Linked DNA regions of Arabidopsis thaliana. The protein of the gene in region 2 interacts with the protein of the main gene of each other region in a pairwise test. Each region holds a gene or a part of one and is shown on either strand. Other genes may lie near its edges. The genes, in order: WRKY8 and AT1G78310.

Region 1 (3,935 bases), on a different chromosome or scaffold from region 2:
TAAATAATGCTTAAGATTTGAAAAAGCCAAAAGCTAAACTCAAAACTACATTTTGCGACATTTTGCCATACTTAATCTATTTTCGTATGTAATAATCGATCAGTTAACAAATTATATATTGACCGAATAAATTACCTCGGATAAGGACTGTTTTTGACTGCTTTTTGGCCATACTTTCTCCAACGATAGCCGTCTTCGAGATGATCAACTTCGGTCTTAGTCATGAACGAGACTCGTGGCTCTTTTTTCTTCTCCTCTTTCTTCTTTGTTTTAACTCTGGTGAACCATATGTTACTGATCAATTAAATCAATACTTAACTAAGTTGGACCATCTTTAATTAATGGCACCGTACCGTACATTTGACTTTGATTCATTGAACTATATTAAACTAAGATAAGCATCAAATGATTGTTAGGACATATGACACAAGAAATACAATAATCTTAAGGTGTAGTCTGCCAAAAAATAAATGGGACACGTCTTTTTGTTTAAGTGGTTTCTTTAGGGATAAGATTTATACATCAATAATTATAGGTACGAACAAATGAAATAAATAATCTTTGAAAACAAAAATCAGGATAGAATCTCAAATATTAAATTGTATTACAGAAAAAATATGAACGAAATAACTTGAGTTGTCATTCTTTCAATTATGAAACTTAAATTCTACCTAAAAATATTAATGTAAAATTAAATATTCACAAGTACATATATACTTTTATCAAAATTTAAATCTCGACGTTGTTCTTAAAGATGTCATTTTATGGCATGCAAACTATATACTTTATGTTAGTCTAAAAAAATTGAAATCAGTATTGCTTAGTTAGTTCATGAAAATAATTTTCAAGCAATGAAAATAATTATATTTGATATGGGCCTCAAAGTGAAAAACAAGAAATGTGTTTTTTTTTCTTTCTCGTAATTAAGATCAGAGAAGTTTTTTTTTTGTTATTTGGTAAATAAAAGCAAAAGAAATTAGTCAAACTGATCATGATTCATGTGAATTCTAAATATATTTATCTTGCTTAACTAAGTAATTTAATTAGGATAACACTTATGAAACTTACACTTTCTGAGAGCGTTGATCATCTTCTCCTCCATCGCGAACTTCTCTTTTCTTCCGGATCTTGCCGGAATCTTCTCCTGGATGATGATCGGCCTCACTTGAAGAAGGAGATGCTGAAACCCTAACTTCACTCTTAATGGTTGCACAACCATCACCGACAACTTCATGACTCTTTTGACTACTATTATAATTATAAGCATTATACAAACCGTTCTCTTGATCGAGGGAAGGATTAAAAAAGTCAGAAGAAGATGGAGAAAGCTCGAAACCCAACTCGAAGGCTCCTTGAGGACTCAAGTTCTTCGAGGGTAGATCAAAACCTACTTGTGATGATGAGATCATGTTTGCATTATAAGCAGATGGACCAGAAACGTAAGGGAGATTAATCATATTTTGGTTGTTGATATTGTAATGATTATACGATGAAGTGTAGTGATAGTTGTTAAGATCTTTGATTTCATGAGACATGACGAAGAACAAAGAGAAAAAACTTAAACCAAAAAGAAAGAAAAAGAAAATGACAAAGAGAGGAGCGTGAAGAAGAAGAAAAGAAAGAAAGAAACAAGAACTTTTTTACGTTAATGAATTTTTTAGTCGGTCTAAATTTGGTGTTAAGACTTTTGGGTCTTCTCGTATTTATGCCTTTTGAAAATATATATTATTTTATGTCTTGCTAAATAAATATAGTAAATGGCGTTTTAGCATATTTTATTTTGTCTTAGATATATACAAATCTAAGGTTGAATGAAAGAGTATTGAAGTGTGAATGATTCAAAAAGAGTTTTGGGGTTTGAATGACTTTTATTGTATTTTTAAAATAATGATAACTTTTATAAAGTTGAGTTGACAAGATGCGTTTTACCTCCCAAATCGAGAGTTACAAAAGTGGCCTCGAGTGAGGAAACATATACTTGTCATTTTGTTTCTTAAACGTTTAATGTGAACATGAACATAAAAGGAAAAGCCATTTTATCATCATAAAGAAACTTCTTTTAAGTCTGACTCTGACCAAGTAAAACCTGAAAAGATGGTTATTTTTTTACCTTTTTAAAGATGTTTGGGTCTTAAAAGTAAATGTTTAGTTATTTACCATTTTTTAGATTGTGGAATAAGGTGGGAACAAGCTTTGTTGTAGAAGAAGGCGATGATGCTGACTAATAGTTAACCGGTAACCGGAAATAGTCAGTCTCCGGTCATCTTTATGTGAAGAAGGAAGAGCCAAGTCAAAAAGTCAAAGAGAATTGTGGGGTTATTAGGATGACACGTGTAATTATTGGCACCGGCATTTGACCGTAACCGACACATTACCTGGCACGTGGTGGACTACTGGATTTGTGTTCTCAAACCCTAATAAATATCAGACGTTAGTCTATCAATTTAATATTCCACCAAAGTCAAGGTGCAAATGCGACAATGTTATACATTACATTATATTCCCGTGTAATTTCGACCTTAGTTACAACCAATTTACATGAAAATCTTAATTTTTATAAAAAACAATATACAAAATGAAATTTCTTATCAGGTGCTTAAATCCTTTATTAAAGTGATTCATATTGTAATAAGCTTGGCTAATAGCAAGGACGTTAAAGAAAGATTATATGAATCATTTTGCATTATGTATAGGTTTAGATTTTATCTGTTGAAAAGAGAAATATGATCGAAATACTGACGATTTACCAACGTCATCACGATTCACGCTGCAGAATCTCTTTTCAGTTTTCACATTAGAACTTTCCCCAAACATTAAAGGAACGTTAGAGTAATAGAAATAACTAAATATATGAACTACGGTCAAATATCAATGCTTTAATATTTAATACATTTTTTTTTTGTCAACAAAACAAATTATTTTATTTTGGGATAAAAATGTGAAACATGATCGAAAATATATAGGAAATGAAAAAGAAAAAAACAGAGAGAGAGAGACATGATTCCTAACCGAAAATGACAATGAGAAGTGAACAGAAATTGACTTTACATAGGTACAGTCAAATACCTATTTTCCTTTTATAGATTTATACCTATATAATAATGTATACTTATAAACTGTTCATGTGTCTGGATTTTTTTGTTCAAATTACGAATCTCAGCTTCATGCGATCTGAAAAAAAGCATTATGCATGCAGCTGATAGGAATACTTGATTAAAAAGTTTGCTAACCCTTGTCCCTTTATCAAAAAAACAAATGATATAAAGATTTAAATTGCAATTCTAATGTTTCCGAAAAATGCGAATAATGATGAAAAACGTTTTCAAGACAAAACTACGATTCAAGATTCTCGATGGCCCAAAGAAATTAAAGCAACTCAGCCATGATGCTCAAAGGACCAAAACTTCAATAACTACTAGCTAGTTGTTTTGAATACAATGCAAATTTAATTGGGCAATGCACCGAACAAAATTAGTCAATTCTAAAAAACACATTTCAAAAATAATAAGGTCACATTTTTGTTGGCTTAACAAAAACGCAAACATCTTTAAAACACATTTAGGAACATTTTTGGGGCTGTTATTAGGAAGATAATTAAAGCTTAATTGGAAAAGATTTGGCTTTTGAAACTTAAAAAAAAATAAAAAAAAAATCAGCCCATAGTATATTGATACACTTGTTCACAGCTTAATTTGCTGTAACCGTTGTGTATAATCTGGCATCTTCATATCCAAGAGGTTTAGTATATTTTCATTTCTGTAAATTACCTCAGTATGCAGTCAACCTGACAACCACTCTGTCTATATGAGATAAAAAGGAAATTAAAAATGAATCTTTATAGAGACAAAAATTATATGTTCGCAGTTGAAATTTACGACCAATTTTCGTGGAATATGTACGGATACACCAAACTTCTTCAAGATTTTTGTTGTTGA
Region 2 (3,935 bases):
CTTTTTAATTTATTTTCTCTTTTCTTATTTCTTTGTTGTTATCGATTTCAATGTCTGTGTAATCGAAACTTGCTTTCTTTTCTCATCAATTTGAAGATCATAAAGTCTCTTGTCTCTTATCTTGTTGCGTAGATTGATTGTTTATCAATTTTTAATTTTAAAAGCGGACTAGTTTATTGGACTGCGTAAAGCCAATTACTTTACCTGGTCTGAAATCAATCATCAATTTGATTATATAAAAATAAAAATACATTTCAAAAGAACTATTTAAGCAATAGACACTCGTTAGTCATTTGACACTTTACAGGTTTAAATTAATGATCTCGTCAGAGTTTGAAGTTTCAACTTAAAATGAAAGCATCAGAGCATAAAATTCAACCAAAGGAACAGTGAAGTGTTTGGTATAGCTAATCAACCAATCAAAAATTTAATACCCCATCGAATAGACGATGAAGAAAAAACTCTTGTATGCAATCTGATTTACAAAGAGATGAAATCATAATGGCAAACTTATAAAAATTGAATAGAGTTGCAAAAGTGTATTCCTTTCTTTTTCCTAGTCTTCTTTGTTTCTAACATGAACAAACCATGAAAACAAAAGAAAGTAAAAAAAAAAACGGATTTAAGTAATCTTTGAGTTAATTAACAAAAAAAAAAACAAATGATCCCACCACTCTCCACTAATGATGTACAAAAAGAACAAAGGGAATTTTGTCGCGACGGTCAAAACGACGACGTTTTCTCACTTTGACCGACAAGGGTTTCCGATTTTCTGATCAATGACCTTTGTATTTAGGGCTAGGAAGCGGCACCGTCGTCGGAGATACAGGGAACCCTAATTGACCTGACGATGGCGATAAAAGTATGCTCGGTGAGAGTAATCCGTACGGAGATTTAGGCGAACTTGAACATCCAAACAGTGGAGGCGCCGGAATCGATGTCGGCACCGTCTGCGAAACAGCAGAGGAAGGAGGAGGAGGATGTGGTGGTGGAAAACTGTTATGCTGCGATGGTGGAGCGTTTTCCTGTTGTTGGTACCAACGAGGTGAGACCAAAGGAGCTAACGGAGATAATCCAGAGAACTCTTTCCGATTCGAATCGATTGCGAACATCGAGTTCTGGAGATACCGCATGTACGAAGAGACCGGTGATTCCGCCGCCGCGTGAACCGGTGGTAACGGCGGGAGAGGAGAAAGCGGCGCCGTTGGTCGAAGGTTAAATCCAACGCCAGTCCAGTTTTGATTCATGTGATGAGAACCTTGAGGGATAAGTGCGTCATTTAGCAAACCAGGAGGACGATTGATAACGTGAACCAAAGGAGGAGGACGGATCCTATGTAGACGCGAACTCTGTTGAGGTTTAGGGTGATGAATCGGTTGTTGCGGCGGAGCAGAGATCCGTTCATGTGCAGGTGAACCGGTTAGTTTCTGAACAACATCTCTGAAATCGTTCTTGTTGATATTGTAAACAGGAGGTTGATGTTGATGGAGATTCCCTTGATTGATTTGCAGCGGTGGAGGAGGTGGAAGATCAATTTCACGATTCGCGACGGAGACGGAGGAGGAAGAGTTCGTCGGTTTTGATATCTTATGAGACAGCTTATTGAGTTGTCTCAGGTAATGATCTCTGTTCGTTGTATTGTTACCGGTACTACTCGTTGCAGAGGCGGATACGGCGGAGGAATCGCCGGAGGAGTTACAGCTCTTATCCATATCGAAAGTTTTTCTTCTTCTTCTTCTTTTGTTTTTCTCTGCCAGATTTGGGTAGAGAGATAATGGAGAAGACGAAGATGATGAAAAAATGAAAATGGCTTTTTTTTTCTCTTTTTATTTTATTTTAAAGATATTTTATAAGTTAAAAACAATTTTGGTTTTATATAAACTATAGGCTATACGACTATAATAAGTAGCTTTAATTGGATTTTTCTAGAATAAGATGAAAAGGAAATAATTTGTCTGTATGTTTATCTATGGATTCTCTTCCATATAATGCTCTGATTAATTAAATAATTAATGCGTGTTTATATGTATGAACATGTACCTTTATATATTCTATTCCTGACCAATTTGTATATTGTTTAATCCCTTAATTGGTTACTGCATTTAGTTTCGTTGTAACTGTTTTTTAAGAAAGAAATTTAGATGTTGTGAGTTGTAATTTATGCTATACTTGTAGTTGTATATACATGGAAATATATCATCTCTTCTTTTTAAGATTTGTTTCTTTATTTTTGTTTCTAACTAAAGCAAATGGAAAAAAAAACTGAAGTTTTGAGAGGAGAATATATTGAGATTCTGATAGTGTTTATTGTTCATAATGATTTTAATTATATAAAAAAAAACAGAATTAGTAAAATGTATTTTCATGATTTCATCTATGGGAAATTGGGAATGATGATACAAATATTAAAAATTCTGATAAATAGCTCGCTAAAACAAAACCATGCTTCACAAATGATATTGTTCGTATAAACTTTTTTGTCAGAATGACTTAATTTTCAGTTTATCTAGTAAATCATGCATTTAAGTATATGGTGTGTCAATTCAAACCAAAATTGCTAAATCAAGCCAATAATATAGATTACAAAAATCTGAAAATTTCTGTTATCTCATGAAAAACAACTACCACATTAAAAAAATTCTGTTTAATGCTATACAAAATTACAAATAATAAGCTCAACAATGAAATAATATATAAAACAATACAAATAAGTTGGGTTAACGGGTCGGGTTATTCAACGCCCATTTTGGTCAAAAGCCCCAAAAGTATTACCGAAAACGACATTCGTACAGTCTTTTAAACTAATGGGTAGTTATCCTGTACTTCGTACTCCACCGAAATCTCCGATTCAAGTCAGCAAACGACTTATCCAACGGCTGTGAGATTAGCACGAGACAGACAGCTATCACATGGACTTTCGACCCTTTTTTTTTGTTTCCTTCAAAATGGAGTATTAGTTACACTGTTAATGTCTGATTTGTAGAAGTGATTAATCATGTAGTAATTGAGATGAATCTGGTCTCTATATCTGATTAGCATGATGTGAAGATGGTTGGCCAAATGTCCAATTTTTGAGAATAGGAATGTTTGAAATATTCTCTTTTGTTACAATAAAATAAAGGGAATAATGTTTGAAATATTCTTGCATTGGTAAAAGCCTTTAGTAATAAGCTTATTACACTGAAACGTATCATTCAATAAATTGGTTTAAACGTATTTTAATTGGGAACGTTATTTCGTAACAGTGAATTTTCTAAGTTTCTGTGACCAATACCTATTCGAGTAATTACTATGCGGAGTTGTTATATTTCCGAGGATTTGATACAACTCCATGCATATTCATCTTTTGCAGTTTTGTTTTATTAGAAATGTATAATTTATTATTCCATGAGTTTTACAAGATTCAATGATAGAAAGAATGATACATAGATTATAATATCTTTATATGTATCAATCACGTCGATCATTTTCTTTTATAAGTTTCGGTTACACCTTACTTTGGAATAAACTTGTCAGGTTTTGTAGAATTTATGGATTTAAACAAAAGATAAAGTTTGGTTGTTTCATTTTACCCAACAATTGACGGCAAAAAAGTCTTATATATGCTTACGATATTTATTCTAAAGGTAAAACGGGTAATAAATTATTTGATCCATACATTGCAATTTTACTATCCATTTGATTCTTATCAAAAACAATTTCTACAGTCCATTTGGTTTTGTTAAATCCGTTTTTCCTGCTAATGGATTCTAATTTATTGTTTGCGTCCTACAATGAAGAAATTTAACGTTTTGGTTGTTCTCTGTGATGAAAATTTATGCTTTTGAAAAAGAAAAAAAAAATGCTTCTGTGCATTATTTTTCAACCTGGATAGCTTGTACTCTGTAGAACCAAAAAAAAAAAAAGGTTATTGGATAAAGGTAACACATAATGTG

What was found.
Region 1: the proteins of AT1G78310 (region 2) and WRKY8 interact in a two-hybrid assay, tested with the Arabidopsis thaliana proteins (one study listed by BioGRID).

What each region holds. Positions count from the first base shown.
Region 1 is NC_003076.8:18,802,367-18,806,301, forward strand, and holds the start of WRKY8 (WRKY DNA-binding protein 8), read right to left. Parts: upstream 1,691-3,935; 5' UTR 1,536-1,690; coding exon 1,069-1,535; intron 277-1,068; coding exon 136-276; intron 1-135. UniProt on the Arabidopsis thaliana protein: Transcription factor. Interacts specifically with the W box (5'-TTGAC[CT]-3'), a frequently occurring stress-responsive cis-acting element. Functions as a positive regulator of salt stress response.
Region 2 is NC_003070.9:29,463,227-29,467,161, forward strand, and holds AT1G78310 (VQ motif-containing protein), read right to left. Parts: upstream 2,024-3,935; 5' UTR 1,713-2,023; coding exon 777-1,712; 3' UTR 322-776; downstream 1-321. UniProt on the Arabidopsis thaliana protein: Functions as a negative regulator of salt stress response.